Linked DNA regions of Xenopus tropicalis. Each later gene encodes a partner of the first gene's protein in a complex. Links are inferred from orthologs where the notes say so. Each region holds a gene or a part of one and is shown on either strand. Other genes may lie near its edges.

Evidence for each region.
Region 2: aar2 (region 1) and cd2bp2 share a complex: the UniProt entries of both Homo sapiens proteins name them as parts of the U5 snRNP complex. The link is inferred for Xenopus tropicalis from reciprocal best matches to the Homo sapiens genes AAR2 and CD2BP2.

Annotation. Positions count from the first base shown.
Region 1 is NC_030686.2:39,752,255-39,768,547, forward strand, and holds aar2 (protein AAR2 homolog), read right to left. Parts: upstream 7,707-16,293; 5' UTR 7,664-7,706; intron 6,527-7,663; 5' UTR 6,525-6,526; coding exon 5,983-6,524; intron 5,641-5,982; coding exon 5,423-5,640; intron 5,295-5,422; coding exon 5,065-5,294; intron 4,793-5,064; coding exon 4,607-4,792; 3' UTR 4,286-4,606; downstream 1-4,285. Other genes in the region: epb41l1 (band 4.1-like protein 1), read right to left, coding at 13,561-13,569, 13,698-13,814. UniProt on the Homo sapiens protein: Component of the U5 snRNP complex that is required for spliceosome assembly and for pre-mRNA splicing.
Region 2 is NC_030685.2:13,545,783-13,561,994, forward strand, and holds cd2bp2 (CD2 antigen cytoplasmic tail-binding protein 2), read right to left. Parts: upstream 8,810-16,212; 5' UTR 8,761-8,809; intron 8,745-8,760; exon of another isoform or gene 8,664-8,744; intron 7,631-8,663; 5' UTR 7,630-7,630; coding exon 7,561-7,629; intron 7,416-7,560; coding exon 7,277-7,415; intron 6,248-7,276; coding exon 6,090-6,247; intron 5,412-6,089; coding exon 4,781-5,411; intron 4,699-4,780; coding exon 4,604-4,698; intron 2,050-4,603; coding exon 1,939-2,049; 3' UTR 623-1,938; downstream 1-622. UniProt on the Homo sapiens protein: Involved in pre-mRNA splicing as component of the U5 snRNP complex that is involved in spliceosome assembly.

The DNA.
Region 1 (16,293 bases):
ACTCTCTACATCATACTAAGTTAACTCAAAGGTGAACAACCCCTTTAGCTGTCCTCCAGCTGAACTGCCCCTGCCACTCAGAGTCTGTCAGAGAATGAAGGTATAGTTCTTCAGCAGCTGAAAGACTACAAAAATCCTTATTCATTTTAGATGGGGCTGCACTGCTTTACACTATGAGTGATGTTGCGTCTGTAACTGTCAGAGGGCACAGGAAGCTGTAAATCAGCAGCAACTGGCAGGCTGCATATTAGATATTACTTCTCCCATATCTTCCTTTCATGTGAATATAAAGCCTGACACTGTGCAGCCATCTTTCCAATGCAGCTGTCAGTCTGAAGGGTTGCCATGACCAGATTCTCAGCAGAGGAATCAAAAAGCTTCAAGAAGGGGTTGGATGGCTTTTTAGCAAGTGAGGGAATACAGAGTTATGGGAGATAGCTCTCAGTACAAGTGAGGGAATACAGGGGTAGGGGAGATAGCTCTCAGTACAAGTGAGGGAATACAGGGGTAGGGGAGATAGCTCTCAGTACAAGTGAGGGAATACAGGGGTAGGGGAGATAGCTCTCAGTACAAGTGAGGGAATACAGGGGTAGGGGAGATAGCTCTCAGTACAAGTGAGGGAATACAGGGTTATGGGAGATAGCTCTTAGTACAAGTGAGGGAATACAGGGGTAGGGGAGATAGCTCTCAGTACAAGTGAGGGAATACAGGGGTAGGGGAGATAGCTCTCAGTACAAGTGAGGGAATACAGGGTTATGGGAGATAGCTCTCAGTACAAGTGAGGGAATACAGGGTTATGGGAGATAGCTCTCAGTACAAGTGAGGGAATACAGGGGTAGGGGAGATAGCTCTTAGTACAAGTGAGGGAATACAGGGGTAGGGGAGATAGCTCTCAGTACAAGTGAGGGAATACAGGGGTAGGGGAGATAGCTCTCAGTACAAGTGAGGGAATACAGGGGTAGGGCAGATAGCTCTCAGTACAAGTGAGGGAATACAGGGGTATGGGAGATAGCTCTCAGTACAAGTGAGGGAATACAGGGGTATGGGAGATAGCTCTCAGTACAAGTGAGGGAATACAGGGGTAGGGGAGATAGCTCTCAGTACAAGTGAGGGAATACAGGGGTAGGGGAGATAGCTCTCAGTACAAGTGAGGGAATACAGGGGTAAGGGAGATAGCTCTCAGTACAAGTGAGGGAATACAGGGGTAGGGGAGATAGCTCTCAGTACAAGTGAGGGAATACAGGGGTAGGGGAGATAGCTCTCAGTACAAGTGAGGGAATACAGGGGTAGGGGGGATAGCTCTCAGTACAAGTGAGGGAATACAGGGGTAGGGGGGATAGCTCTTAGTACAAGTGAGGGAATACAGGGGTAGGGGAGATAACTCTCAGTACAAGTGAGGGAATACAGGGTTATGGGAGATAGCTCTTAGTACAAGTGAGGGAATACAGGGTTATGGGAGATAGCTCTTAGTACAAGTGAGGGAATACAGGGGTAGGGGAGATAGCTCTTAGTACAAGTGAGGGAATACAGGGGTAGGGGAGATAACTCTCAGTACAAGTGAGGGAATACAGGGGTATGGGAGATAGCTCTCAGTACAAGTGAGGGAATACAGGGGTAGGGGAGATAGCTCTCAGTACAAGTGAGGGAATACAGGGTTATGGGAGATAGCTCTCAGTACAAGTGAGGGAATACAGAGTTATGGGAGATAGCTCTCAGTACAAGTGAGGGAATACAGGGTTATGGGAGATAGCTCTCAGTACAAGTGAGGGAATACAGAGTTATGGGAGATAGCTCTCAGTACAAGTGAGGGAATACAGGGGTAGGGGAGATAGCTCTCAGTACAAGTGAGGGAATACAGGGTTATGGGAGATAGCTCTCAGTACAAGTGAGGGAATACAGAGTTATGGGAGATAGCTCTCAGTACAAGTGAGGGAATACAGGGGTAGGGGAGATAGCTCTCAGTACAAGTGAGGGAATACAGGGTTATGGGAGATAGCTCTTAGTACAAGTGAGGGAATACAGGGGTAGGGGAGATAGCTCTTAGTACAAGTGAGGGAATACAGGGGTAGGGGAGATAACTCTCAGTACAAGTGAGGGAATACAGGGGTAGGGGAGATAGCTCTCAGTACAAGTGAGGGAATACAGGGGTATGGGAGATAGCTCTCAGTACCAGTGAGGGAATACAGGGGTATGGGAGATAGCTCTTAGTACAAGTGAGGGAATACAGGGTTATGGGAGATAGCTCTCAGTACAAGTGAGGGAATACAGGGGTAGGGGAGATAGCTCTCAGTACAAGTGAGGGAATACAGGGTTATGGGAGATAGCTCTCAGTACAAGTGAGGGAATACAGGGGTAGGGGAGATAGCTCTCAGTACAAGTGAGGGAATACAGGGGTAGGGGAGATAGCTCTCAGTACAAGTGAGGGAATACAGGGGTAGGGGAGATAGCTCTCAGTACAAGTGAGGGAATACAGGGGTATGGGAGATAGCTCTCAGTACAAGTGAGGGAATACAGGGGTAGGGGAGATAGCTCTCAGTACAAGTGAGGGAATACAGGGGTAGGGGAGATAGCTCTCAGTACAAGTGAGGGAATACAGGGGTATGGGAGATAGCTCTCAGTACAAGTGAGGGAATACAGGGGTATGGGAGATAGCTCTCAGTACAAGTGAGGGAATACAGGGGTAGGGGAGATAGCTCTCAGTACAAGTGAGGGAATACAGGGGTAAGGGAGATAGCTCTCAGTACAAGTGAGGGAATACAGGGGTAGGGGGGATAGCTCTCAGTACAAGTGAGGGAATACAGGGGTATGGGAGATAGCTCTCAGTACAAGTGAGGGAATACAAGGTTATGGGAGATAGCTCTCAGTACAAGTGAGGGAATACAGGGGTAGGGGAGATAGCTCTCAGTACAAGTGAGGGAATACAGGGGTAGGGGAGATAGCTCTCAGTACTAGTTGATCCAGGGTCCGGTCCGATTGCCATCTTGGAGTCAGGAAGGAATTTTTTCCCCTCTGCGGCACATTAGAGAGGCTTCAGGTGGGGTTTTGCCTTCCTCTGGATCAACTAGCAGTTAGGCAGGTTATATATAGGCATTATGGTTCAACTTGATGGACGTGTGTCTTTTTTTTCAACCTTACTATGTTTTCACAGAGCTGGGATCTTTGACTTCTGTTATTACCCACAATTTATTTTGCCGACAGCAGGAATTGTTTGTAAACTCGCTTTATGGATTGACTAATGTAATGTAATCAGACGGAGCTGAGCTTGAAGACACTTACTTTGTACCTAGGTACGAGAGCAAAATAGCCACATTAAAGGGAAACTCCAGCTTCTGAACCAAAATTTGTTAGAGCCCCATGCAACACAGAAACCCCTAATATACCTATCCCTGTAATCTGTTCCTTCAAAAAGTAGGAATAAATACCATTGTTATATGCTGAAATCCAGCTGCAAAACAGTTCTTCTCCTACATTATTTGAAATCCTGGCAGGGGAGGAGGGACTAAAGCACTGATGTTACAAATTGTAACAACTTCTTCACAGATTACAGACAGCATGCGAATCTACACAACTCACAATGCATTGAACGGTGATCTTCCTTTCATTATTGACATCACGTGTGCAGGGAATTGTGGGATTGGGAGGAGGCAGGCTGAAGGCAGGCTGAGGACAGCCGACTACTGTTACATTTTATTTGAGTCTCAAAGTAGTCAGATCAGCAGGGGAACAGGGGGTGGGGCTTAGGCATATTTTTAACTGATGTATATTGCAAAGAAAGCTTTAGTTGCTTTGGATGGAGTTCCCCTTTAAATTGTCTCTAATATTGGAGAAGTGGGTGGGGTAAGAATTTCCTTACTCAAATTTTTTTTTTTTTTTTTTTGGTAGATAGGCATGTATCACTTCATTCCGATTGTATGGGTTAAACAGAGGTTACTTCTGAATCCCAGCTCATTGCTTTCTGCACATTTCTTCTCATGTCTATGTAAACAAATGGGGAAAAGTTATCAAAAATAGAGTCTTGTTGAAATGTGTATTTGGTATTATTTATACTTAATAAAGGAGGTGCCATGCTGCTTGCTCTACCAAAATACAAAATCAAAAGAAAAGTGCGCTTCCTGGTGGCCGTGTGTAAAAGGAATAAACATTTGGCAGAACCCAAAACACCTGACATGTAAGAGATGGCAGGAAAAGCAAGTGCAGTCTGCAGCCAGAGCCGATTCAGACACTAGTACCAGGGGAATGATAAAAAATGGCACAAAGACAAGCAAATGAAGAGAGAGAAACCGTAGACGCTTGGCTGAAATATAATTACTTCTGTGGAGGTGACGGGAGTTAGAAGATACAAAGCTTTTTACATGTTAACAAGGTGGCACCGAGAAGCCAATAATAAACAGTTGTAGGATGAACATGAAGCCTCTTCTTCTCTTCAGAAATGCATTTTTTTTAATGGGGAGCAGAAATGGAATGATCTGTTGGCTCCCCAGTGTTGTATTATCCCTGCACTGGGGAACTGATCTCGAGGCTGTATATTCCGTTAGCTCATCCTAATGGAGACAGATACAGAATGTAAGTGCAAATAACACAGGGTTTGTTATCCTTGTCCTTTGGCTCAGGAAGCAGCACTTTGTGAGGAAGGATCCAATCCTGCAGGCAAATCAACAATAAGGGGTGCACAGTCATCAGGCTCCTCTTCAAAATCCCACTGGAATTTCTTGGTTAGATGAGCCCTGAACCGAATTGCTTTCTTCCTGAGAGCTGGATTGGCAGTGGGGGAACACAGAAAGGAGAAGAGAACCTGTGGAAACAAGAGGAGATCTTTGTAACAACATTCAGGGAGTAAAAGCCCAGAAAAAATGGACAGTAAAAATGTATCAGTATGAGTAGTGTCTGTGAGCAGGGCCGGGAGTTGTAGCCCAAAAACATCAGAAATAGCACAGGTTACCCGATCTTTTTATAGACTGCAAATGACTAAATTATGACTTCCAGTTAAAATACAAGCTATGAGGTATAAACTGAACATTCCTGTCCCACACAGAAGAATGTAGATTGTAAAAAAGTGTGAAGTACCTGCAGAGTACTGGTAAGGAAATTGCTCTGGGATACAATGTCAACAAAGAAGTCAGTGGGTACTTGTGCCAGCTGGTGGTATAGGACTGATATAGTTTCCATGTACAGTTCTGGGTGCTGCAGGGAGAAATTCTCTGCCCGGCACAAAAGGTTCAGTATTTTCTTCCACTGCTCAAATGCTTCATACACATTCCCAAGTACAAAGCAGACAAAGGAGAACTGCAGCTCAGCTGGAAGGGAAAGAGTTAAAGTCAAGATAAGTAAGGTAAGTCCCTACTGGGCAAAACCCACCTCCCACCTGTACTACTATGCCACTATGCACATAAACAGGGTTAAAGTAGAAAGCAGTTGGACTTACCAAGCAGCTCCAAGGGTTGCCCTGGGTAGTGTGTATTCAGCAACTGCCCCAGGGCATAGGAAAGGTCCAAGCTGTGCTGGGTGATCTCAGTAGGGGTGGCATTATCAGGGTACGTCTTGTCAGGAATCAGGCTAAACCGAATCTCTGTTCCCTCTTTCTGCTTCATTTGGGGCAGCCTGGCCATGCCCTCCTTATAGCTTTGGCACACACTGTCATATCTGGGAAGAGAACAAACCTTGTAAAGCACTGCCTATATCTGTGGCGCTATAGCAATACAGTACAAAGCCAATGCTATATTTTATGGAGAATAGTAAACATATGTAAAAACAAATTAAAAGTTGGTATATAGCAGGCAGCCAAGTGCCACAGACCTAATGTTTGGATAAAAAAAATAATAAAGTTTCTTTATTCTAAAACATACAAATGCCTATACCCAGTCTGCATACATTCCCACAAATACACACTATAATAGGCACACCATTTCTAATAGGACACTTATCAAATTGGTAAATTCCCACCCTCCTGACAGCGCTGTTAGTTCCCCCTGGCTTTTCCCATACCTGGGCAGATTATGTTGGACTCGGTCGGCAGTGTGGGTCATGGGTTCCGTAGGAAGGACCTCAGGAAAGGAGAAGATGGTGCCACATTTCGGCTGTAGCCTGAACATGGACTCTTTCTTGATGTGATTACTGAGCGACACCCAGCGACGCATGCTCTGATAAGGATATGGCCCCAGGAAGGAATCTAAGGATTGAAGCTCCTCCCTTAGTTTTTCGGCTTCTTCTTGAGGGGCTACGACCATCTCTTCCTCCTGGGGGTCCCAGCGGAAAAGACGCAGCTCTCTCTGTTGCAAATAGAGGAACATGCTGCTGCGCGGGCTCATGTCTCCAAGGCCCCCTCCTTTACCAACCACGTTGTAGTGCATGAAATGAACACCCGGGGGCACCATTTTTACACCTCTAAATCGAGGTCCCACTTGCCAGCTATTATAGTCTATGCCAAATTCAGAGCCTTCTGGTACCCCCAATATCACCAGGGTTGCACCTTCAAAGAACAGCTGCCGGGCAAGTTCAGGATCCATGTCTGTTGAAGGGGTGTCCATCTCTATAAAAGGAAGTTGTTAAAGGTTATTCATTAATTGGTTTTCTAACGCTTTGTATTCTCAAACATTACCAGTTTATCTTTGGGGGGTATATAGACATGTTTTAGGGTTATGGACACAGGGCACGGTGGCTGTCCCAGCAACAGGGACACAGAGTCCTGGGACACAGGGAACCCACTTCCTGTTACACTCCCCAGAAACAATGCTGTTTTGCCTAAACATGCTCATACTGGGAGGGAGCTCCCAGTGAGGGTGGCCATGTTTGGTGACATGCAATAACTGAATCTCCTGCCTCGCTCATTATACCTATGCCTGTGACATCACACTCCTGTGCATAAATTAGAGAGCTGGGATTCTACAGCTTAGGGTCCCAACATGGCCATCAATATAGAGGGGGGGGGGCAAGTGGTGGGTGTTGAGTAAAGTTTGTCTAAAGTTGATGATTTCAGAGCAGGCAAGGATTCCTATATAGAGCTTTCTGCTCCCCCAGAGTTTCCCTTCTTCTCTTGCCTCTGCTCAGTAATATGCAGAACCACCCCCAACCCTTTCTCTGGCTTTAGGGCTCATACTCACAAGTGGTTTTGCTTGTGAGTCACAGATACAGGGACAGCAGAACCCAGAGTGACAGATACAGGGACAGCAGATCCCCAGAGTGACAGATACAGGGACAGCAGATCCCCAGAGTGACAGATACAGGGACAGCAGATCCCCAGAGTGACAGATACAGGGACAGCAGATCCCCCACAGAGTCACAGATACAGGGACAGCAGATCCCCCACAGAGTCACAGATACAGGGACAGCAGATCCCCCACAGAGTCACAGATACAGGGACAGCAGATCCCCAGAGTGACAGATACAGGGCCAGCAGATCCCCAGAGTGACAGATACAGGGACAGCAGATCCCCAGAGTCACAGATACAGGGACAGCAGATCCCCAGAGTGACAGATACAGGGACAGCAGATCCCCAGAGTGACAGATACAGGGACAGCAGATCCCCAGAGAGTGACAGATACAGGGACAGCAGATCCCCAGAGTGACAGATACAGGGACAGCAGATCCCCCGTTAGACAGGGAGGAAGGACACACTAGTTGCCAGACTGATACCCCTGACACAATAAACCCACCCTCACTACATACCTTTAGTACTGTAACAGCCTGTAGGCAGAACAGCTCACATTCGTACCCGGAAGCAGAAAAGCTTTCCCTGTGCAGCACAATAGCCCTCCCCCTGGAAACCCGACCCTATGAAATAATGGTTCCTATAGTTAACTGTCCGCAACATTTCCAAATCCCTGTGTTCTGGAACATTATAGAGCCTGAGCGCCTCAGACTGAGAGGCACAACTAGAAGGGAAGCAGTAAGCACTGCTGTAAAGGTCGAATTGTTCTAATAAAAACACAGTTCCAGGGGGACACCGGCACTGAAGGGTTAATACCACCTTCTGGGGGGGGGGGGGGGAACTGGAACTTATGGGAGGAGGACACAACTCCCCTTCAGGGAGTTTTCTATTTATTTTACTTTATTTTATTTGACTTTTTATTGTTTATATTGCATCTCTCCTTTTCCTTACAGGAGATCTTGGGCAGGAATCATGGTTCAGCCCCCAGACATGTATGGAGCTCTAGAGAAGGGCAGGAGCTCTGGTTAAGTCCCTTCAGCAACTGGGGGAAGGGGAGCTGCTCACCCCCCCCCCCTCACTTCACGCAGGTTGCAGGTTCCCCCTATGGACTGGGACCCTGGGGCTACTGCTGGCAGAGATAGCCAGCATCCTTGGGCTACATGGGCAGGATTTGGTGCTCCGCTGCTGTATGTGGTTTGGCAGCGCAGGAGGGTGGGAGCTAGTGATGTGTCGGTCAAGAAATCCTCGACTCGAACTTGCCCACTCCCAACCCTAACCTGCCCACTCCCAACCCTAACCTTCCCAACCCTAACCTGCCCACTCCCAACCCTAACCTGCCCACTCCCAACCCTAACCTGCCCACTCCCAGCCCTAACCTGCTCACTCCCAGCCCTAACCTGCCCACTTCCAACCCTAACCCTGCCCGACCCGGCTTCTTCCCTCTGTAGACCCGCACCTGCCCCACATGTGCCTATAAATTAGAGAGCCGGAAGAGGAAGCCGGCAGTGTAAGGTCACAGGTGGGGAAGGTGAGTGCAACCCACAATTGATGTGCCAAGGTTTGGCCGAACCCACCAGGAATCCTATTACCACACAGGTTTCTTTTCTTGATTGCACCCAGTGTTGCGCTAGACTTCGGTCTCCATTCCTGAGCCTCCCTGGGTACGCAAGCTAGCTCATTCACTGGCCTCCTTGCAGGGTCTTGACAGACTCCCTAGATAAACTGTTTGCTTCCCAGTCTCCTACAGGTTTTTTGGGCAAGCGCAAACCCCCAGCCATTTCTATTCTTCCAGACTCTGGCAAGGAGTCGTAACTTGCTAAGGAAGGTCAATTCTCAGAGGGCTTATCTGATGAAGACTCCCCTCAGAGAGCCAATGAGGTTCCTAATTGAGGCCATCTCAATGTGTCTGCCCCTAGCTCTGCAGACCCCCCCAAGGATCTCTTCAAGCAACAGAAGAAGACCTCTAGAGTCTTCCCCTGACACGACCAACTCAGTCATCAAGGACGAATGGGCCTTTCCAGATAACAAGAAGTCAGATGCCCTACTCACCATCCCTGTAGGCTCCCACAGGGGTTAACGGTTTTCCAAGAACACCCTTGCCAGGTGGATCAGAGGCACTATTATCAGAGCCTATCCGATTTGGGGCAAGCCCTGAGTCAGAGTCACAGCTCACTCTACCAGAGCCCTGGCCACTTCATGGGCAGCTAAGAACCTTGCCTCTGTTGAGCAAATTTGCAAGGCTGCCACCTGGTCTTCTATTCACAGCTTTACATGGTTTTACCAGGTGCACGTAGCAGCTTCAGCGGATGCTGCCTTCGACAGAAAGGTGCTGCAGGCATCAGTACAGGCTCAGACATGATTCCCAATCCCACCCTAAATCTATTTTGGGACTGCTCTTGAAAACGTCCCCTCAGTGCCTGTGTCCCCCTGAAAAGAAAGAGAAAGTAGGTTCTTTATCTTACCTGTAAAATCTTTTTCTCACTTGATTGATAGGAGGACACAGGCATGCCCTTCCCTGCATAGTCTTCCTGCCTGTCAAACGACTTGATGGAATGTGTCTCATGCCTCAGCAGTCTCCCTTGGTCCTTCTTGGTGGGAGTCTTCCCCACCTCTGCCTGTGCGAAGGCACAGTTTCTCAGCCCTTGGCCCATAGATATAGTTCCTATAGTTCTACTTAAGTTATTTTTTACTGTTTTTTGTACGTTCTGGGCAGTTCCAGCCCCCACAGAGGGTGTAGCCTGCTGGGAGGGCTGCCAGCATTTGTTCTTTTAGTGTCCATTTTAGTTAACCCTTCATTGCCTGTGCCCCCCTTTCAATGAAGAGAGAAGATAAAAATCCTTCTTTCCTGTAATGCTGTGTTAAAAAGTGTTTGTTTTATTCCATTGTGATGGTAGTAGTAGATCAAAATCAGTAAAGATGCGGGTCTCAAAAACTGGTTCTGTGCAGAACTCTACCTGCTAGTTATGCATGCCGTTGATCTCCCAGTTTCATTAGTTTTGGAGTTGGAATCTCTGTGGAAGTCATCCTGTTTTGGCTTCCCCCTTCCCCCCTCTCTTGGTTGCTGTAACAGCCCAGTCACCCTGAATTACAGGTGACCCCTGCCATTGAAATGCCACTGAATTACCGCAGCATTCAGCAGAGTTGGGGTATGTCAGGGCTTGTCCAAGACATACCTAAATACAAAAGTACTAGGTTGGCATTTCTGCAGCTGGCAGGTTCTAAAAGGAAAGGTTGCCTGGGTGTTTTCTGCTGGCAGAACACTCATTGTGCTACAGGCCTTTAGTGATTCTGTCAACATAATTAACCCCCTTTTTTATATCAAAGCATGGGGATCACAGATAACTGGTTAATAGCCAAGGCTATATTTGGGTCCGTTGCTACCTTGATCAGCTCATGGTCCTGGTATGCTGCAAATGTTCTGATTGCTGAAGATCCCTTACCCTTCTGCATGGCTGCCGGATTTAGCCAAAAGTATCTGGTGGTGGGCTGGGGAGATATATTTTTTAGCATTACTTTATTTACCATATAGGCACTTGTTCATCCCTACATCTCTGGCCATATCTACTGTATAGGCACCAGTGGGCCCCTGCCTACAGTGCCAGCTTTAGGGGTGAGGTCCACAGGTACCTATATGGTAAATACAAAATTATTTTGCCTACTGCTGTATACTTGCTGTTGGACCATATAGGTACCCATGGGTCCCCCTATAAATCTGTTGCCCAAGGCAAGGGCTCTTTGAGACCATATGGTTAGTTCAACCCAGGTCAACCCAGGTTTATTTTTTCCATGGTGCTGTTTTTGCAGGGTCGGACTGGGGGGGGTGCAGGGCCCACCGGGGTACATTTCAAAATGAGGCGAAAGAATGGAGACCAGTACAAAAAAAAGTCACACCAAGTTTGTTTTTATTGGCTATAGAGCAGTGACATCACGGAGCACAGGGTGGAGGGGAGTCAAGGGAGAGCACAGCATTGCATTAGGTCAGGCCTCCCCCTGTGCGACGTTAACCCTTTCACACATACACAGCTCAGCCAATCCCCAGCTAGCAGGGACATCTCCAGGCTTGGAAGCTGACAACCAACAGGCTAATACAGCAGCGTTTTCTACTTGCAAGGAGTTGGGAAAAAAAAAAAAAAAAAGAATTTGTTCTGACCTTTGCAGTACGGAAGCTCAGTTACCAGTTTAATAGTTACATAGTACATAGTTATATTCACTTACTGCCCTCAGCAGCGGGTTAGATATGTTCTCGGACACACAGAATATTCAGGATTTAAAGGAACACTACAACTCGAACATATTCATCAATCTCCTTTTTACTTTACGGTGCTCCTAGCTGCAATGGATTTTGCCGGGATCTGCCAAGCTAAGATTTAGACCACAAACCAGACTAACAGTGGGAGTCAGACATGAAACACAAGGTTGCTTGCCTGGAGCTTCTATGCTGTGACCCCCCCACAGGAGCAGTTCTGGGTCACTGAGAGACAAGACATTTCTGAAAATTCACCAGATCTGCTCCCATATTGTGCACTGACTGTTTAGTTACAGCAAAAAATGATATCCATTTACAGCACCCACCATGAAAGCTAATCCTAGGAGCCCACTTACTGAAACACCGACTCCCTTTTTTCTACTTCTTTCTCTTCCCTCACTGCCTCTACTCCTCCAGCCTCTCTCATTTTCTCTCCCCTACTGTTCCCCCTCCAGCCTCTCAAGTTCCATATACCCTATTATGCCCCAGCTTCTTTTTGCTTTCTCTCTTCTTCTCTGCCACTCCATCCCCCCTGCTTCTCTTTCTCATTCTGTCTCCTATACTCTTCTCTCTACACCTAATGATCTACTTTCCTGCCCACTTCTCTTTTTACCCTTCTTTTAGCCTGTATGCTTTCCTGTTTTATTCTTCTCGTCTTACATTTTCCTTTTTGTTTATCCAGCAATCAGAGCCCTCTGGACCTATTTTTTACTCTGTTTAAATATTGCAAGACCCCTGTTTGTTATAAATGAATGTAAAGCGCTGTGTAACTTGCTGGCGCAATATGAAGAAATGATTACTATGTCATCTCACCATTCTTATTCTTCCTCATCATATTTTATTTAAATTTTAACTCCTATCATCCCCCTGAAAGCCAAAGTTCTCTGCCTGAACCACAACCAAGTTGTGGACCCACCCTTCTTTCATTGTCATTTGCCTTCTCTTCTCTTATCTTACTCCTCCTCACCCCCCTGGTGAGCATGGTATGCTGTGATTGGGCGGCATTACTGTTCATTTATGCTGACATGCCAGTTGCTCCTTTCCAGTGCTTGCAAATATCTTATCTTCCTTATATTGCATTTGCTTCTCAACTCTTAAATTAAGAACACCCTTGACGAACAAACTAGTGCTCCTCTCAGCCATTATTGTCATTTCAGATTAGGACAGATGTTATTTAAGACTTGGACCCATGAGATCTGCAAGATTTAAATGTCTTTTCTAAAACTGATGCAGAATGTATGAAAATGTCTGGTTGTTTAATTATTATTAAATTATATATACTTACATAGGCTGGCAGTAAATTAGGGATATACTGTTGCATTTTAGGAGGAGTCAGGAAGGGATACTTTGTCCCTCGGTGGGGTAACAGTTAGTGTTTTGCATTCTCTTTGACCAATAATCACACTGGGGGTTGAAATTTGTCTTTTTCATTCTAAATAACTATGTACCAAGTAAGCAATTCATTTTATCTTAACTGTACCAAATCAATAATATCAGTTATGCAGCATTTAAAATCAATCAAAAAGAGTTTGACCCACTGAGTGCAGATTATCAGAAGATGATTTGATAGTGCCGGACTTCTAGCTAATTTGTTCTCCTGGATGCAAATGATCAGGCTCAGACCGTGCTGCGTTTCTATCTAATGCAGAGTGATCTCCAGGCTGAAGATTATCAGGGCAGGCTCAGAGCGTGCTAGGCTTCTATCTATTGCAGAGAGGTATCCTGATTAATCCGTAGATTAACCCCCTTCTAGGCTGAAGAGCCAAGAGCATCAAGGAATTGATTCTTTGAAGGTCTCTAGCAATCCGGAGCAATAGTTCCTTAGTAGTGCAGATAAAAAGAACCCTGTAGATGTTGCATGCAGTCCCGTAGTGCCACACATGCTTCTTAGGATGATTGGCCAAGGGGAAGGGGAGAAGGGAAGGTGTATTATTGCCCTCAGCACTCAGTTAGGGAATCTGCTCCTGGGAGGGTGGCAAGTCTCTCTCATTCTCTCTGTAAGGGGCACTGTCAGCGTGGTCTTAGTTGCCCCTTGCCGGATGTGGTGGTTTTTGCAGCTGGCATGGTGTGTAAAGAGGAAATTAAGGGAGGGAGAGGGTGTCCTTATTTTCAGAGGTGAATAACAAAGAGAAGTGGCCATGGGAAGATTTTCACATCCAAAATCCGACGTCAAGATTTCTAAAGTGGGGGGGAAAGACATACAGTATCACTAGCAAAACTACAGTCAGTACATAATATATAAACACACAGCACAGGTCACGACTATTGAAGGTGGCACCTCTCCATGCACGAGCATGCTCACTAACCTCAACGCTCTCTCCAGGCTCCTCAGGGGAGGGTTCTGTCTCACAATACACAACAGCCTTGGTGACCATCATGTCTGGGTGCTGAAGTTTGGCCTCTTTTATGGCCAGTGCAAGGGCCTTCCGGGGGAAGGAAAAGAAAGTATATTTCTTGGTTATTAATGCAATTTTGGGCCCTGTACCTGTACAGACCCGGTCTGGCAATCTGTGGGTTCTGGCAAATGCCAGAGGGGCTGCTGTAAGATGCCATAGACGGTCACTATTTATTGGGCTGGGGGGGGCTGTTTGGGCCTCTGTGTACTTGGAATGCCATTAATTTAATTCTAACTAATGAAAGCTGATATCTTAATTGTGGCCATCATAAACCCACCCTTTTCAGCAGGGTATGTAACAGCAAAACATTTAGGCACCTAGATACTTAATAGCATGTTTCAGACCTGGACTGGCAATCTGTGTATTCTGGCAAATGCCAGAGGGGCTGCTGTAAGATGCCATAGTATCTATTTATTGGGCTGGGGGGGCTGTTTGGGTCTCTGGGTACTTGGAATGCCAGGACCCAGGCCCAGACTGGCAATCTGTGGGTTCAGGCAAATGCCAGAGAGGCTGCTGTAAGATGCCATAGACACTCACTAATTATTGGGCTGGGGGGGCTGTTTGGCCTCTGGGTACTTGGAATGCCAGGACCCAGGCCCAGACTGGCAATCTGTGGGTTCAGGCAAATGTCAGAGGGGCTGCTGTAAGATGCCATAGACACTCACTAATTATTGGGCTGGGGGGCTGTTTGGCCTCTGGGTACTTGGAATGCCAGGACCCAGGCCCAGACTGGCAATCTGTGGGTTCAGGCAAATGCCAGAGGGGCTGCTGTAAGGTGCCATAGACAGTCACTATTTATTGGGCTGGGGGGGGCTGTTTGGGCCTCTGGGTACTTGGAATGCCAGGACCCAGGCCCAGACTGGCAATCTGTGGGTTCAGGCAAATGCCAGAAGGGCTGCTGTAAGATGCCATAGACAGTCACTATTTATTGGGCTGGGGGGGCTGTTTGGACCTCTGGGTACTTGGAATGCCAGGACCCAGGCCCAGCCTGGCAATCTGTGGGTTCAGGCAAATGCCAGAGGGGCTGCTGTAAGATGCCATAGACAGTCACTATTTATTGGGCTGGGGGGGCTGTTTGGACCTCTGGGTACTTGGAATGCCAGGACCCAGGCCCAGCCTGGCAATCTGTGGGTTCAGGCAAATGCCAGAGGGGCTGCTGTAAGATGCCATAGACAGTCACTATTTATTGGGCTGGGGGGGGCTGTTTGGGCCTCTGGGTACTTGGAATGCCAGGGCCTATTTTGAAGCCCAGTCCAAACCTGTATTTGTATAATCTTAAATTGCATGTAATAAGCAAACCTACTAGTGGTATAGCATTAAAAACTATCATAGCTAAAAACTAGTTCATATTGGTAGTTAGGCAGGTGGAGCTTTATTACAGTATCCCAGCTTCCCTTGGTAGCTCATATAGTGGAACGACATGGTCTTGTCAATTCTGCAGTTCCATATGGCATCTCTTCTGATGCAGAATTACAACTACTGTATATATACAGTGGAGGAAATAATTATTTGACCCCTCACTGATTTTGTAAGTTTGTCCAATGACAAAGAAATGAAAAGTCTCAGAACAGTATCATTTCAATGGTAGGTTTATTTTAACAGTGGCAGATAGCACATCAAAAGGAAAATCGAAAAAATAACTTTAAATAAAAGATAGCAACTGATTTGCATTTCATTGAGTGAAATAAGTTTTTGAACCCTCTAACAAAAAAAGACTTAATACTTAGTGGAAAAACCCTTGATTGCAAGCACAGAGGCCAAACGTTTCTTGTAATTGATGACCAAGTTTGCGCACATTTTAGGAGGAATGTTGGTCCCACTCCTCTTTGCAGATCATCTCTAAATCCCTAAGGTTTCTGTCTCTGTGCAACTCTGAGCTTGAGCTCCCTCCATAGGTTTTCTATTGGATTAAGGTCCGGAGACTGACTAGGCCACTCCATGACCTTAATGTGCTTCTTCTTGAGCCACTCCTTTGTTGCCTTTGCTGTATGTTTTGGGTCATTGTCGTGCTGGAACACCCATCCACGACCCATTTTCAGTTTCCTGGCAGAGGGAAGGAGGTTGTCGTTCAGGATTTCACGATACATGGCTCCGTCCATTTTCCCGTTAATGCGAATAAGTTGTCCTGTGCCCTTAGCAGAAAAACACCCCCAAAGCAAAATGTTTCCACCCCCATGCTTGACGGTGGGGACGGTGTTTTGGGGGTCATAGGCAGCATTTTTCTTCCTCCAAACACACCGAGTTGAGTTAATGCCAAAGAGCTCTATTTTGGTCTCATCAGACCACAGCACCTTCTCCCAGTCACTCACAGAATCATTCAGGTGTTCATTGGCAAACTTCAGACGGGCCTGCACATGTGCCTTCTTGAGCAGGGGGACCTTGCGAGCCCTGCAGGATTTTAATCCATTGCGGTGTAATGTGTTTCCAATGGTTTTCTTGGTGACTGTGGTCCCTGCTAATTTGAGGTCATTAACTAACTCCTCCCGTGTAGTTCTAGGATGCTTTT
Region 2 (16,212 bases), on another chromosome or scaffold:
GGACCTTCTTGCCCCCTCAGTACTGAGCCAGGGACATAACTTGGGTTCTTTCTGCATTCAGTTCCAATGGAGGATGTTGGGGCTTGAATCCAACAGAAACTGAATCTCATTCATCTCTATGCGCCAAGTGAAGTTGTATAAAAACAGATCAGTAGCACAAATGCTCCCTCTAGTGGCCGAAGCATCACCAAGCTGCTTTAATGGGCCATAGAGATCAGTGTAACCAGATAGAACCCATAGTCAGTTTCTGGGTCAGAACCAAGCCCCGCCCCCTGCCTGATCATGGCGAGGGAGAGAAGCCAAGACACAGGGTCTGCACCCCTGTAAGTACTCACGGAAGAGTGGGGGCGCAGCATACGCAAATTGGCTCAGCTCTCCTCCATTCATCTGTCTAGTAATTGTAAATATTCCTACATAAAGAAAAGGGAAAGCAAGGGAGATCCAGTGGGGAAAGAAATGTTTAGAAAATATAACAGCCAATGAATTGAGCCACTGGGACGGAATAAAAAAAATAAAATGGATTGTGTGGGTCACTAAGAACAAGCCCTCATCTTCTGTAGGCCAGAAAAATATAGCTGTATTATATTAAGGGACAGAGTACTTAGCACAAAGTATATATCAATGCTGTTATATATTTATTTTATTTCTCTCTTTACAGGATGCAAGCAAACTTAGCCGGCTGTTCCTGCTGAATTGTGCTTAGTACAGGGGAATCCCTATTCTGCCATAGTTTTATGGTATCTCTCTGTACAGGCTATGAACAAACTTAGGGGGCTGTTCCTGCTGAATTGTGCTTAGTACAGGGGAATCCCTATGCTGCCATAGTTTTATGGTATCTCTCTGTACAGGCTATGAACAAACTTAGGGGGCTGTTCCTGCTGAATTGTGCTTAGTACAGGGGAATCCCTATGTGCCATAGTTTTATGGGATCTCTCTGTACAGGCTATGAGCAAACTCAGGGGGCTGTTCCTGCTGAATTGTGCTTAGTACAGGGGAATCCCTATGCTGCCATAGTTTTATGGTGTCTCTCTGTACAGGCTATGAGCAAACTTAGGGGGCTGTTCCTGCTGAATTGTGCTTAGTACAGGGGAATCCCTATGTGCCATAGTTTTATGGTATCTCTCTGTACAGGCTATGAGCAAACTTAGGGGGCTGTTCCTGCTGAATTGTGCTTAGTACAGGGGAATCCCTATATGCCATAGTTTTATGTCATCTCTCTGTACAGGCTATGAGCAAACTTAGGGGGCTGTTCCTGCTGAATTGTGCTTAGTACAGGGGAATCCCTATGCTGCCATAGTTTTATGGTATGTCTCTGTACAGGCTATGAGCAAACTAGAGGCAAAAATCTAGGCAAAATCTAAAATTGAAAGTACAGTCACATTCTACCTCCTGTTCCCTACGTTATGTTTTTATTGTGCGCTTACTAAACAGGAAGTGGAATTTGAATTTTACTCCCCATTTATGATTTTGCCCTGCTTAGTGCATGAAATAACAAGCAAAGAAATGAAAATATAGAACCTATTATGAAATAAAAGCAAAAGGGGAAATAAAGATACATTTCGTCCAATGGGATAACAGCAAACGTGGGTGTATTTACCCATTATTCGGACTCTATAGAAGGTTAATCTCACATACCCAGCCCCGGTTGGTAAATATACCGCTTAGCCTGACACGGCATAGAGACCAATAAGAGAAATAAAATATTTTTATTACAAACAGCTGAAGCCCTGCAATAAATCTGTGTAAGGATCACACACACACGTACAGACCAGATTAGCATGAGTGTGCACTCCGGGAGGCTTCTCTCGCTCACAAACGGCACTCAGGGGGATATACCAGCACACACAATGGTCTCTTCCATGTGTCAGTGTCCCACAGGGGAAGTCCATAGAGTCCATCACAGTGGAAGAGGCGGGGCAGCGAGAGTGCCGGGACCAATCACATGTAAAGCTCAAAGTCTATTCTCTGTGAGTTGTAGAACTGACTCCCGGAGCCGCTCACTCGCCGGCAATAAACTCCCTCGGCGAAGTAGCCCTGATCCACCCATTCCTGCAACAGAGAAGCAGCGGATATTATGGCTTTTCATTGAAACAGCACCGACATGGCTACCCACCCAGAGATTATTCTTGGGCAACCCAGAGGGTCCTTTTTTCAACCACTGGCATGCTATGTGTCTATGGCTTTACAGGGGGTGATTTTATTTAGAAATTGTGTGGTATCACAAAACAATAAATGGTATTACAGGTATGGGATCCCTTATCCAGAAAGCCGTTATCCAGAAAGCTTCAAATTACGGAAAGCCCGTTTCCCATAGACTCCATTTTAATCAAATAATTCAGAATTTTAAAACCAATTTTCTTTTTCTCTGTATTAATAAAACAGTACCTGTACTTGATCCCAACTAAGATATAATTACCCCTTATTGGGGCAGAACAGCCCTATTGGGTTTATTTAATGGTTAAATGATTCCCTTTTCTCTGTAATAATAAAACAGTACCTGTACTTGATCCCAACTAAGATATAATTACCCCTTATTGGGGGCAGAACAGTCCTATTGGGTTTATTTAATGGTTAAATGATTCCCTTTTCTCTGTAATAATAAAACAGTACCTGTACTTAATCCCAACTAAGATATAATTACCCCTTATTGGGGGCAGAACAGCCCTATTGGGTTTATTTCATGGTTAAATGATTCCCTTTTCTCTGTAATAATAAAACAGTACCTGTACTTGATCCCAACTAAGATATAATTACCCCTTATTGGGGGCAGAACAGCCCTATTGGGTACTGGCTTCTAATTACAGCGAAAAAAGGAAATCAATTTTAAAAATTAGAATTATTTGCTTATAATAGAGTCTATGGGAGATGGCCTTTCTGTAATTCGGAACTTTCTGGATAACGGGTTTCCGGATAAGGGATCCCATACCTGTACTTATGACAATAATGCTGGACTAATTAAAAAGCTGGTGTTAAAATACTGGGCTGTTCTGAAATCGGACCCAAAGTTGGGTAAATTGTTCAGTAATCCACAGATGTTCTCGTATGAAAAAAGGAAAGACAATGGGGGAATCGGTAAAGTTGAGCCTAAATAATATATAAAAAATACAGTGAAGTATGTGAAAAGGGAGGTACATATCCATGCACCAACTGTAGCCAGGGTCAGACTAGGGGGTGCAGGGGCCAACGGGGCTCCTAGTGCTCCTAGAGGTGCCCCTGCAATCCACGTCCCCTAACCCCCTGCAGGGTCCCCCACCAGACGTCCTCCCCAATCATGCGTAAGGTTAAATCGTCAGGGGAGTAACGGTCGGGCAGGGGGAGCGCCGGCATGGGCCGCTGGGGCCCACTGGGATTTTTCCCAGTGTCCCCGCCAGCCCAGTCCAGCCCTGACTGTAGCCATTGCAATGGTATGATCTGTGGGGATAACGTAATACATCCACATAATAGTTCAAAATTACCAATAAAAGGAACTATTAACTGTAATAGTAAAAATGTGGTCTATTACATGAAATACCCCCATTAGTGTCGGACTGGCCCACCAGGATACCAGGAAAACTCCCGGTGGGCCCAGGTGTCAGTGGGTCCTCCTGCTCCTGACCATTTGGCCTGTTTCATGGTCATTCCCTATTTCTGAATGGGAAGGAAGAGTAGAAATAGATGGAAGAATAGATGCTAGCATGTAAATAAAAGAGACTAGGAGAATAAAGAGGTTGGGTGAGGAAAGGAGGAAAAATAGTTTGTAGGGTGGGCCTAGGGTCTAAGGTTTTCTGGTGGGCCCCTGGGTTCCCAGTCTGATGCTGGCCCCTGTGGATTGGTTTACGTTGGGCAGAGAAGTCACGCAGTGCGCGTGCGATTGAATGGGGATAAATTCAGGATTATAAACCCCTCAGAGAATTGGTTACAAAGCTAGGGAAAGACAGAAAGGAAACAGCTTTAGCTGAACATTTTTTGGAATCTGGCCATCAGATCTCGCAACTTAGACGGCAAATATTGGAGCAGGTAAAAGTGAGGGAGGGGCAGGATATAAAGAGAATTTTACTACCAAAGGAATGCTACTGGATATGGGCTTGAAAAACGAAGTATCCTCAAGGGTTAAACAAGGATTGTAACATGTCTCGCTATTTATAATAATTTCTAATTATGTTTTTCTGCACATATAAACGATAAAGAATTTTTGTTAGTAGTTCATTTTCTAGAGTTACTTTGGTAGGTGATTTACTTTACTTATGGACTTCAAAAATGTTTTTACTTATGGACTTTTCAAAAATGTTTGTTTATAAACTTTTTTTTGGGCTACTGCTACTGCTACTGCTACTACCGGTCACTGTGGAATTTCAGGTCTTTGTATTTTTATATAATTAATTATGTAATTATTTATGCTATTATGTATTTAACTGTCTCTATTGCACTGGTTGGTATGCCTCATGAAGGGTTAGGCCCCCAAAAAGTTGCTGCACTTCGAATAAATGCCATCATTCCCTAGCCCATCCCATTCACCCACTACAAGATAGGAAACTGAAGCGAGCAGAGAGGTGGGAGAAAATAACACACAAACAGTCGGTGATGCACCTTTATTGTCCCACCTACCTACAGAGAAGCCACTTACCTGCATCTGTGTGCTGGAGAAGGGCCCATACAGCTCTGCTCCGTCCTTGTTCTCCCATTTGTACTCCCACATCACTGCATCCGACGACTGGGACTCTAAAAAGAAAAGAAAGGGGGTGATGCCACGGGCTGGCCTATGTTATTTCCCAGCACAATAATCAGTGGTACCGGCCCTTACCCGCCTTCTTCTCCAGTGTTTTCTCCTCCACCTCATCAGCAAACATGTCCAGCTCGGCAGGTGGAGCCAAGGTCTTGAGCCTGTACGCCACCTTCTCATATGTGTCCTGGTAGATCTCATACACACCAAGGGCTACCATCTGATCTGCTAGGGATATGAGGAGCTCGAGGGGCTCTGGCCTACTTTCTGCCTCGTTACTTGCTTCCTCCGACCCCGCAGCCACTCTGCTCTGTGCAGTTTCCTCTTGGCCATTATCCCGCACCCTGTCTCTTAGGGACTCCTGACCTTGCTCATCCTTTCTCTCTTGCCTTGAATCCGTTTCACCTTTACCCTCATCCATTTTAGAATCTGTATTATCTTCCTGCTCTCTGTCTCCGTCAGACTTAGTCCCTCTCTTCTTTCTCCTGCCTTGGGGGGTCTTCTGCTGCCTTGCTCTCTGGCCCCCAGTTGCCTTTTTGCCTCCTGTCCCTCCAAGACGCTGGATTCCTTTAGCCACAGTCTCGCCAGGCTGAAGCAGCTGCAAGATTCCCTCCAGTAGCACTTTCTTGCTCAGTGGTGCTCTGCCTTCCTCAGAATCAGAGTCATCATCATCAGCGGTTTCTGTGGGTGCAGTGCGTTCCTTAACTCGGACCTAGGGCAAGAGGATAGGGGTTACTGCTGGTTACTGGGTGCCATTGGTCACGGGCGCACATGTTTAGGTATAAGCAGAAGGGTCCATGTGTGCTGCTTTCATCTTAAAGTGCTTCTTCCCCTACAATATACAATGATCTCTTCTCATCCTGACTGCCCCAGCATCCTCCTCCTATCCTGTCTGGCCAATCACATGAAGAGGTGCCAGTTTCCCTTGGCCAATGCCACTGGTGGGGTGCAAGAACAGATCTGAACATGACGGGATGCTTAGGGCGTCATGAAGAGAAGCGACAGCCTTAAATCTAAAAAGTTGGGAAGCATCTAGGGATGCACCGAATCCACTATTTTGGGTTCAGTCGAACCCCAAAAGTCTCTGTAAATGATTTGGCCAAATACTGAACTGAATCCTTATTTGCATGTGCAAATTAAGCTACGGAACAGTTAAATGAAGCGCGCGCTTAATTTTTTACTTCTGTGTTCATGTGATTTTACAGATTCTGCAGAATCTTGCCTGAATCCCAAACTGAATACTGGGTTCAGTGCATTCCAAGAGGCATCTAATGTGACTGTGTTCATACAGTGCCCAACTTGATTCTTGGATTGTAATCACCCTGTTCCACCTGAAGGGACTCAAATTCTGCTATTACGTTTCATGTTCTCCCAATTCATATTCACTCACCCAGTCTATATTATCAAGCCAGTGGTCCCGAATCTGAGCTTCTTTACGCAAAAAATAGTTGCCCTCAGAGTCAAAATGCCCTTCCTCCATTTCCTCCTTCAGGTTAAAAGGAGTAATCGGAACACCACCCTCCGACTCCAGAGTAGCGTTTTCTTGTCCTGCAGAGGAAGAAGAGCAAAGACAAATTTAAGACAAATTTAAGTCAAATTTAAGGGGCTGTTCCTGCTGAATTGTGCTTAGTACAGGGGAATCCCTATGCTGCTATAGTTTTATGGTATCTCTCTGTACTGGCTATGAGCAAACTTAGGGGGCTGTTCCTGCTGAATTGTGCTTAGTACAGGGGAATCCCTATGCTGCCATAGTTTTATGGCATCTCTCTGTACAGGCTATGAGCAAACTTAGGGGGCTGTTCCTGCTGAATTGTGCTTAGTACAGGGGAATCCCTATGCTGCCATAGTTTTATGGCATCTCTCTGTACAGGCTATGAGCAAACTTAGGGGGCTGTTCCTGCTGAATTGTGCTTAGTACAGGGGAATCCCTATGCTGCCATAGTTTTATGGTATCTCTCTGTACAGGCTATGAGCAAACTTAGGGGGCTGTTCCTGCTGAATTGTGCTTAGTACAGGGGAATCCCTATGCTGCCATAGTTTTATGGTATCTGTCAGCATAACATTTGCTTTGCTCATAGCCTGTACAAAGACTTTACTATAATATCCAGTATGAAGTAGTCCGCAAAATGGCCATGATCTTCTTTTGTAGATGACTGCCCCAAGCCACCCCCAGCTGATGGGTACTTACTGCAGCAGACACCCTGATATGACTTTAGGTGACTGGGAGTGGAGAGCCCATTGTGCCCAAGTTATGCTGAGCTGGAGGAAGTGCCATCTTTTGATAGGTTGCAGTAGAGTTTAAAATTGCAGTTCAGCCTATGGAATTACTGGCCTGCCTCCAGCTCAGCATAAGCAAAGCAAGCAGCACTGCTCCTGCAGCTCACTCCCTCATCATTACTGTGGGTACCAATACACTAGGGTGGCCTGGGGGCAACTTATGCATAGGATGTTTCAGTACCAGGTATCTTTAGCTACCCTCTCCCAAACATCCTTATATTATGCGTCCGCTTGTTTCTTGTAAAGGGGTTTATAATACTACAAGAGGCACAAAGCGGGCACCCTGCTATGGAATCTCACCTTCAACATCCTCGGGGGCTAATATGTCATACTTTGCAGAACGTCCATCACTGGTTTCTTCCTCATCATCTTCCTCATCGCTGTCCAGAGAATGTTTCCCTTTAAATCGACTTCCTGGGCCTCCCACTACATCCGGGAGCTTCAATAAAGGGGTGAGACCGTGTCAGACATGCACATTGGCTAATGCAGACCGTCTATATAATGGCGTCTTTATAAAGGTTACTGGGATCAGTTTGGAAAAAGAAAAGCGACATGGTGCAATTCGGCTCTGCTTCTTAACTTACCCTTTTTTTTTTCTGCTCATCATCGTCGTCTTCAGCCCCATCCACAAATGTGACCTTCCTTTTAGACATCCTATAGAAAAGGCAACAGGCACTATTAATAGGGATGCATTAAATACAGGATTTGGCCAGTGCCTGGCCAAACCGAATCCCTAAAGTCACATGACTTTTCATCGCATGATAGCGGAAAGGAGGAGTTCTCTTTAGCCCCTTTGTACCAGGATTCAGCGAATCTTTCACAAAAGAATTCAGGGTTCAACTGAATCCCAAAACAGTGGAGTCGGTGCATCCCTATGAAAGACTACAGGTATTGGACCTCTTATCTGGAAACCCATTAGAACAGAACAATCCTATTGGGTTTATTTAATGGTTAAATGATTCCCTTTTCTCTGTAATAATAAAACAGTACCTGTACTTGATCCCAACTAAGATATAATTACCCCTTATTGGGGGCAGAACAGCCCTATTGGGTTTATTTAATGGTTAAATGATTCCCTTTTCTCTGTAATAATAAAACAGTACCTGTACTTGATCCCAACTAAGATATAATTACCCCTTATTGGGGGCAGAACAGCCCTATTGGGTTTATTTCATGGTTAAATGATTCCTTTTTCTCTGTAATAATAAAACAGTACCTGTACTTGATCCCAACTAAGATATAATTACCCCTTATTGGGGCAGAACAGCCCTATTGGGTTTATTTAATGGTTAAATGATTCCCTTTTCTCTGTAATAATAAAACAGTACCTGTACTTGATCCCAACTAAGATATAATTACCCCTTATTGGGGCAGAACAGCCCTATTGGGTTTATGTCATGGTTAAATGATTCCCTTTTCTCTGTAATAATAAAACAGTACCTGTACTTGATCCCAACTAAGATATAATTACCCCTTATTGGGTTAAGAGACCCTGTGAGTAGAAGGGAACTTGTATACAAAATAAAGGGGGGGAAAGTCTAAAACCAGGAAAATGCAAGAAAACCGCTCGGTGTGAGGAAACATGAGGGGAAGAGAGATCCCTGCAGGTTCCTCAGTATAACCCTGTTTATAACATAAATAACGGAGAGGGGATTCGTATCAAACAGGCCCCGCCCCCAGGGCCGACCTGCCGTAAATAAGGGCCGGTGTTTTGCAACTTTAAAGGCCTCACAAGTTCCCAGATCCCCTTAGTTCTAGCGCAGCTCGGTAAGTATCCAACAAACCTTTCGTTTTTCGGAAGCACTCGTCGAGACGCGGGTGTCGCAGCCGGATGACGCGCAGGAAGTGATGAAGTCAAACCGGAAGTAGGGCAAATGAAGTTGTATCGCTTTGAAATATGACTGTATAGCTGCTGCAGGTCACAAAGTAGTCGTCTTGCAGGGGATGCTGGGACTTGTAGTTGTCACTGGTGCATCCCACTGACTTATTAATGCACAATTTAAGTTAAAGCACCAGTAATAACATTAAAAAATAATTGTCATTTATTGCCACTGGTTATTAAAATGGGATTGGGTTACAGGGCTTTTTCCTGATAGTTATAGGTTTTATAACCAGAGAGAGGTCATTTAGCCAGGAATGGAAGGGCCCCAGGAGAGAAAGTAAATACATTGTTGGTCGCTTTTATCAATGAATCAGACATGGTTACATACCTCCCAACATTTTGAAACTGAAAACAGGGACAAAAATAAACGCTGCGTGCAACCACACCCCCTAAATACCACTCCCATTTGACTAAATTTACTTATTACATTTGTTATTTATTATTATTATTAACATTTATTTATAAAGCGCCAACATATCCCGCAGCGCTGTACAATAAGTGGGTTTCATACATTGGGCATACAGAGTAACATATAAAGCAATCAGTAACCGATACAGGAGGGGAAGGGAGCCCTGCCCAAAAGAGCTTACAATCTACAAGGAGTAACATATAAAGCAATCAGTAACCGATACAGGAGGGGAAGAGGGCCCTGCCCAAAAGAGCTTACAATCTACAAGGAGTAACATATAAAGCAATCAGTAACCGATACAGGAGGGGAAGAGGGCCCTGCCCAAAAGAGCTTACAATCTACAAGGAGTAACATATAAAGCAATCAACCGATACAAGAGGGGAAGAGAGCCCTGCCCAAAAGAGCTTACAATCTACAAGGAGTAACATATAAAGCAATCAATAACCGATACAAGAGGGGAAGGGAGCCCTGCCCAAAAGAGCTTACACTCTACAAGGAGTAACATATAAAGCAATCAATAACCAATACAGGAGGGGAAGAGGGCCCTGCCCAAAAGAGCTTACACTCTACAAGGAGTAACATATAAAGCAATCAATAACCGATACAAGAGGTGAAGGGAGCCCTGCCCAAAAGAGCTTACACTCTACAAGGAGTAACATATAAAGCAATCAATAACCAATACAGGAGGGGAAGGGAGCCCTGCCCAAAAGAGCTTACAATCTACAAGGAGTAACATATACAGTGGTGTGAAAAACTATTTGCCCCCTTCCTGATTTCTTATTCTTTTGCATGTTTGTCACACAATATGTTTCTGATCATCAAACACATTTAACTATTAGTCAAAGATAACACAAGTAAACACAAAATGCAGTTTTTAAATGAGGGTTTTTATTATTTAGGGAGAAAAAAAATCCAAACCTCCATGGCCCTGTGTGAAAAAGTAATTGCCCCCTGAACCTAATAACTGGTTGGGCCACCCTTAGCAGCAATAACTGCAATCAAGCGTTTGCGATAACTTGCAACGAGTCTTTTACAGCGCTCTGGAGGAATTTTGGCCCACTCATCTTTGCAGAATTGTTGTAATTCAGCTTTATTTGAGGGTTTTCTAGCATGAACCGCCTTTTTAAGGTCATGCCACAACATCTCAATAGGATTCAGGTCAGGACTTTGACTAGGCCACTCCAAAGTCTTCATTTTGTTTTTCTTCAGCCATTCAGAGGTGGATTTGCTGGTGTGTTTTGGGTCATTGTCCTGCTGCAGCACCCAAGATCGCTTCAGCTTGAGTTGACGAACAGATGGCCGGACATTCTCCTTCAGGATTTTTTGGTAGACAGTAGAATTCATGGTTCCATCTATCACAGCAAGCCTTCCAGGTCCTGAAGAAGCAAAACAACCCCAGACCATCACACTACCACCACCATATTTTACTGTTGGTATGATGTTCTTTTTCTGAAATGCTGTGTTACTTTTACGCCAGATGTAACGGGACACGCACCTTCCAAAAAGTTCAACTTTTGTCTCGTCTGTCCACAAGATATTGATCTTGGCAATCATTGAGATGTTTTTTAGCAAAATTGAGACGAGCCATAATGTTCTTTTTGCTTAAAAGTGGTTTGCGCCTTGGAAATCTGCCATGCAGGCCGTTTTTACCCAGTCTCTTTCTTATGGTGGAGTCGTGAACACTGACCTTAATTGAGGCAAGTGAGGCCTGCAGTTCTTTAGATGTTGTCCTGGGGTCTTTTGTGGCCTCTCGGATTAGTTGTCTCTGCGCTCTTGGGGTAATTTTGGTCGGCCGGCCACTCCTGGGAAGGTTCACCACTGTTCCATGTTTTTGCCATTTGTGGATAATGGCTCTCACTGTGGTTCGCTGGAGTCCCAAAGCTTTAGAAATGGCTTTATAACCTTTACCAGACTGATAGATCTCAATTACTTTTGTTCTCATTTGTTCCTGAATTTCTTTGGATCTTGGCATGATGTCTAGCTTTTGAGGTGCTTTTGGTCTACTTCTCTGTGTCAGGTACCTCCTATTTAAGTGATTTCTTGATTGAAACAGGTGTGGCAGTAATCAGGCCTGGGGGTGACTACAGAAATTGATATTGAAATTGAAAATTGAAATTGATAAACCACAGTTAAGTTATTTTTTAACAAGGGGGGCAATCACTTTTTCACACAGGGCCATGTAGATTTGGAGTTTTTTTTCTCCCTTAATAACGTAAACCTTCATTTAAAAACTGCATTTTGTGTTCAATTATGTTATCTTTGACTAATAGTTAACGGTTTTTGATGAGCAGAAACATTTAAGTGTGACAAACATGCAAAAGAATAAGAAATCAGGAAGGGGGCAAATAGTTTTTCACACCACTGTAAAGCAATCAATAACCGATACAGGAGGGGAAGAGGGCCCTGCCCAAAAGAGCTTACACTCTACAAGGAGTAACATATAAAGCAATCAATAACCGATACAGGAGGGGAAGAGGGCCCTGCCCAAAAGAGCTTACAATCTACAAGGAGTAACATATAAAGCAATCAATAACCAATACAGGAGGGGAAGAGGGCCCTGCCCAAAAGAGCTTACAATCTACAAGGAGTAACATATAAAGCAATCAATAACCGATACAAGAGGTGAAGAGAGCCCTGCCCAAAAGAGCTTACAATCTACAAGGAGTAACATATAAAGCAATCAATAACCGATACAAGAGGTGAAGAGGGCCCTGCCCAAAAGAGCTTACACTCTACAAGGAGTAACATATAAAGCAATCAATAACCGATACAGGAGGGGAAGAGAGCCCTGCCCAAAAGAGCTTACAATCTACAAGGAGTAACATATAAAGCAATCAATAACCGATACAGGAGGGGAAGAGAGCCCTGCCCAAAAGAGCTTACAATCTACAAGGAGTAACATATAAAGCAATCAATAACCGATACAAGAGGTGAAGAGAGCCCTGCCCAAAAGAGCTTACAATCTACAAGGAGTAACATATAAAGCAATCAGTAACCGATACAAGAGGTGAAGAGAGCCCTGCCCAAAAGAGCTTACAATCTACAAGGAGTAACATATAAAGCAATCAATAACCGATACAAGAGGGGAAGAGAGCCCTGCCCAAAAGAGCTTACAATCTACAAGGAGTAACATATAAAGCAATCAATAACCGATACAAGAGGGGAAGAGAGCCCTGCCCAAAAGAGCTTACAATCTACAAGATAGTTAAAGTTTGAACACATTTCTGGGGGGTTTTGGGGGGCCTGTTTTATGTGTTATTACAGTTTTGCTGAAAAAGGTGAAATTTTCGAGTCTGAAAGTTTCGAGTCTCAGTTTTAATTAAATTTGTATATTTTTAGCTTCAGTGCAGGAGATCAAAGGGAAATGAGGGACTTTTCAGTAAGAATCCGGGACTGCGGGTTGAGCTGTCAAAAGAGGGACTGTCCCGCAAAAATCAGGACAGTTGGGAGGTATGTTATATATATATCAGTAAATATTGCCCTTTTTCATCCTTTCCCTTGAGCCGCCATTTTGTGATGGGCTGTGTGCTCCCTCAGAGATCAGCTGACAGGAAGTGATGCAGCTCTAACTGTAACAGGAAGTAGTGTGGGAGTAAAAGGCAGAACTCTGTCCATTCATTGGCTGATGGGGCCTAGCATGTATGTGTGCCTTCTTGTGTGCACTGTGACTCCTATGATCCCAGGGGGCGGCCCTAAGTACTTAAAATGGCAGTTTTCTATTTAGGATTACCCAATGGCACATACTATTAAATAAGTCTATTTTCTATGAAAATGGTTTATTTAGTTAGGTTTACATATGAGCTGTTTATGCAATATATTTTTATAGAGACCTACATTGCTTGGGGGTATAGTTTTCCTTTAAATCATGCCTTCCCTTGCAAGGGAATGCATGAAATGTGAATGTCACGCTCATGTAAGGGCCCTTAGGGGCATATTCCTTTGTACGAGACCCTGCTTGTATGCAGGCAAATGCAGTGTGTAGTTATGTGAGAGACATGCAGGGAGGAGAGCTGGAGAAGTTAGAGCGGTGTGTATGGGCACGGTGTGTGTGTATGGGCACGGTGTGTGTATGGGCACGGTGTGTGTGTATGGGCACGGTGTGTGTGTATGGGCACGGTGTGTGTGTATGGGCACGGTGTGTGTGTATGGGCACGGTGTGTGTGTATGGGCACGGTGTGTGTGTATGGGCACGGTGTGTGTATGGGCACGGTGTGTGTGTATGGGCACGGTGTGTGTGTATGGGCACGGTGTGTGTATGGGCACGGTGTGTGTGTATGGGATCGGTGTGTGTGTGTATGGGCACGGTGTGTGTATGGGCACGGTGTGTGTGTATGGGCACGGTGTGTGGTGTATGGGCACGGTGTGTGTATGGGCACGGTGTGTGTATGGGATCGGTGTGTGTGTATGGGCACGGTGTGTGTGTATGGGCACGGTGTGTGTGTATGGGCACGGTGTGTGTGTATGGGCACGGTGTGTGTGTATGGGCACGGTGTGTGTATGGGCACGGTGTGTGTGTATGGGCACGGTGTGTGTGTATGGGCACGGTGTGTGTATGGGCACGGTGTGTGTGTATGGGATTGGTGTGAGTGTGTATGGGCACGGTGTGTGTATGGGCACGGTGTGTGTGTATGGGCACGGTGTGTGTGTATGGGCACGGTGTGTGTGTATGGGATCGGTGTGTGTGTATGGGCACGGTGTGTGCATGGGCACGGTGTGTGTGTATGGGCACGGTGTGTGTGTATGGGCACGGTGTGTGTGTATGGGCACGGTGTGTGTGTATGGGCATGGTGTGTGTGTATGGGATCGGTGTGTGTGTATGGGCATGGTGTGTGCATGGGCACGGTGTGTGTGTATGGGCACGGTGTGTGTGTATGGGCACGGTGTGTGTGTATGGGATCGGTGTGTGTGTATGGGATCGGTGTGTGTGTATGGGCACGGTGTGTGTGTATGGGCACGGTGTGTGTGTATGGGCACGGTGTGTGTGTATGGGATCGGTGTGTGTGTATGGGCACGGTGTGTGTGTATGGGATCGGTGTGTGTGTATGGGCACGGTGTGTGTGTATGGGCACGGTGTGTGCGGTGTGTGTGTGAACTGGGAGTGGCTATTACAGTAATGGGTGTGAGAAGTGTAAAGCAGGAAGTGTAAAACACAGTAAAAGGTGTAAAACAGCAACGATAGTGCAGTCTCTGTGTTGTCCTGTTATCTCATACATTGTAGAGTAATCAAATGAATTTGTTATTGCCAAAAATGACTATTGGTTATGAGTCCCAGAAACTGAGCCACTTTAGCCTTTGTGATCATTAATGTTCCAAACTGAGAGAATGAAATGTGAGTACATTAATGCAATCCTGCCCCACTGGGACTACAAAGGCCAGAATGCCTTGCTTCTCCCGGCCGGCCAGCAGGTGTGTGCAGCACAGGTGAGCTGCCGAGCGAGAGGGACAGTCACACTCAGTGAGACACACCCCTTGGAGAGGTCAGTAACAGTGAAACTAAACAGGGGAAGTAGGAGAAGAAGGAGAAAAAGCACCCAAGAGACCAGCCACAGAAAGTAAGTGTGGGACACAGAGACTGATTTAATGTCAGCGAGACAGCAGCCAGGCAGACAAGTGACAGGCACATAAAGGCAGTTGCACAAACAGAAAGTCAGTTGTGCCAGCCATATGGAGAGAGATTACAGTGACTGCGAGACAGTGCCATTGAGTGCCTGAGAGGCAGTTACAGGGGCAGAGCGGCACTTACAGGAATAGAGAGACAATCATAGTGATCATTGAGACAAGAGACAATCAGTGAAGCAGAGGCAATTAAAGGGAAAGAGACAGTAACAGAGTGTGAGCCTGTGAGGTTTCCATTTGCTTCAGTAAGAGACTGTCACTGCCCTCCCATCTGTAGCACAGGGACTGGCTGAATAGCAAGGTGACAGCTCTGCTCTGATATGGCAGAAGTGAGACAGACTGTATGGCAGGATGTATGTCTCACTTCCCCTTCATCCCACACACACACACACCCACTGGGGCCCATTTTATAACTGTCTCTTGCCTTTTAACGCCCACGTCTTCCATTCCCATGGCACACAGTCTCCCAGATGCCAAATAATAGAATCCCCAAACAATGGGCACAGCCACCTTAACGGGCATGTAAAGCCCACGTCTCCCCCACCCAAATGGCATCATTTGTACTGCATATATCCCCTCCCTTTGCCGGCACCATCACATTTTCCTAAATCAAATAGCAGCTTTTGCCCAGCGCCCATTTTCCCTCAGTGACATTTCCATCTGCAAACACCACATGTGCACTGTAAAGTTCATGCAGTGCAGAATGCAGGCTTACACAGGCAGAACTTTCTTTGATTAAATGTCATGCTTGGATTGAGCCCTGTAATGGTTAAGCTAAGCTCAGGAGAGGAGGTTAGAAGAAAAAAATAGGAGTAGACTGCTAGAGCAGAGTTTCAATGGAAACCAGTAATCTAATCTATTTATTGGCTGCTAGACTGGAGGGCGTGTTTAGTAATCTGAGCTGAGAAGAACTGAGCATGCCCAGTAGCCAACAGCCAAAGTAAATCCCTGAGGGAGGGGGTTGAGTGAGTTACAGGAGGAGAAGGAAATCTAAGTGATTAAGTGGATGCTGCAGCCTTAAGGTGGCCATACGCGGGCCGATTGTAGCTGCCAATATTGGTCCCGTGTAGGGGCAGTAACAACGGACCTGCCTGACCAACATCTGGGCTAAAATCGGGCCGATATTAGAAAATTAGAATTTTGAAAATGTTAAATAGGCATTAAAAAATCTTTTCCCGATTTTTAACCCCCTCCGATCATAATCAGCATATGTTACTTAGGATTCGGGATTTGGCCCAATCCTGCTGGGTGGGTTCGGGGGTTCAGCCAAACCCAAAAAAGTGGGTTCGGTGCATCCCTACTATTAACCTTTGAATAACCAGAGTGGTA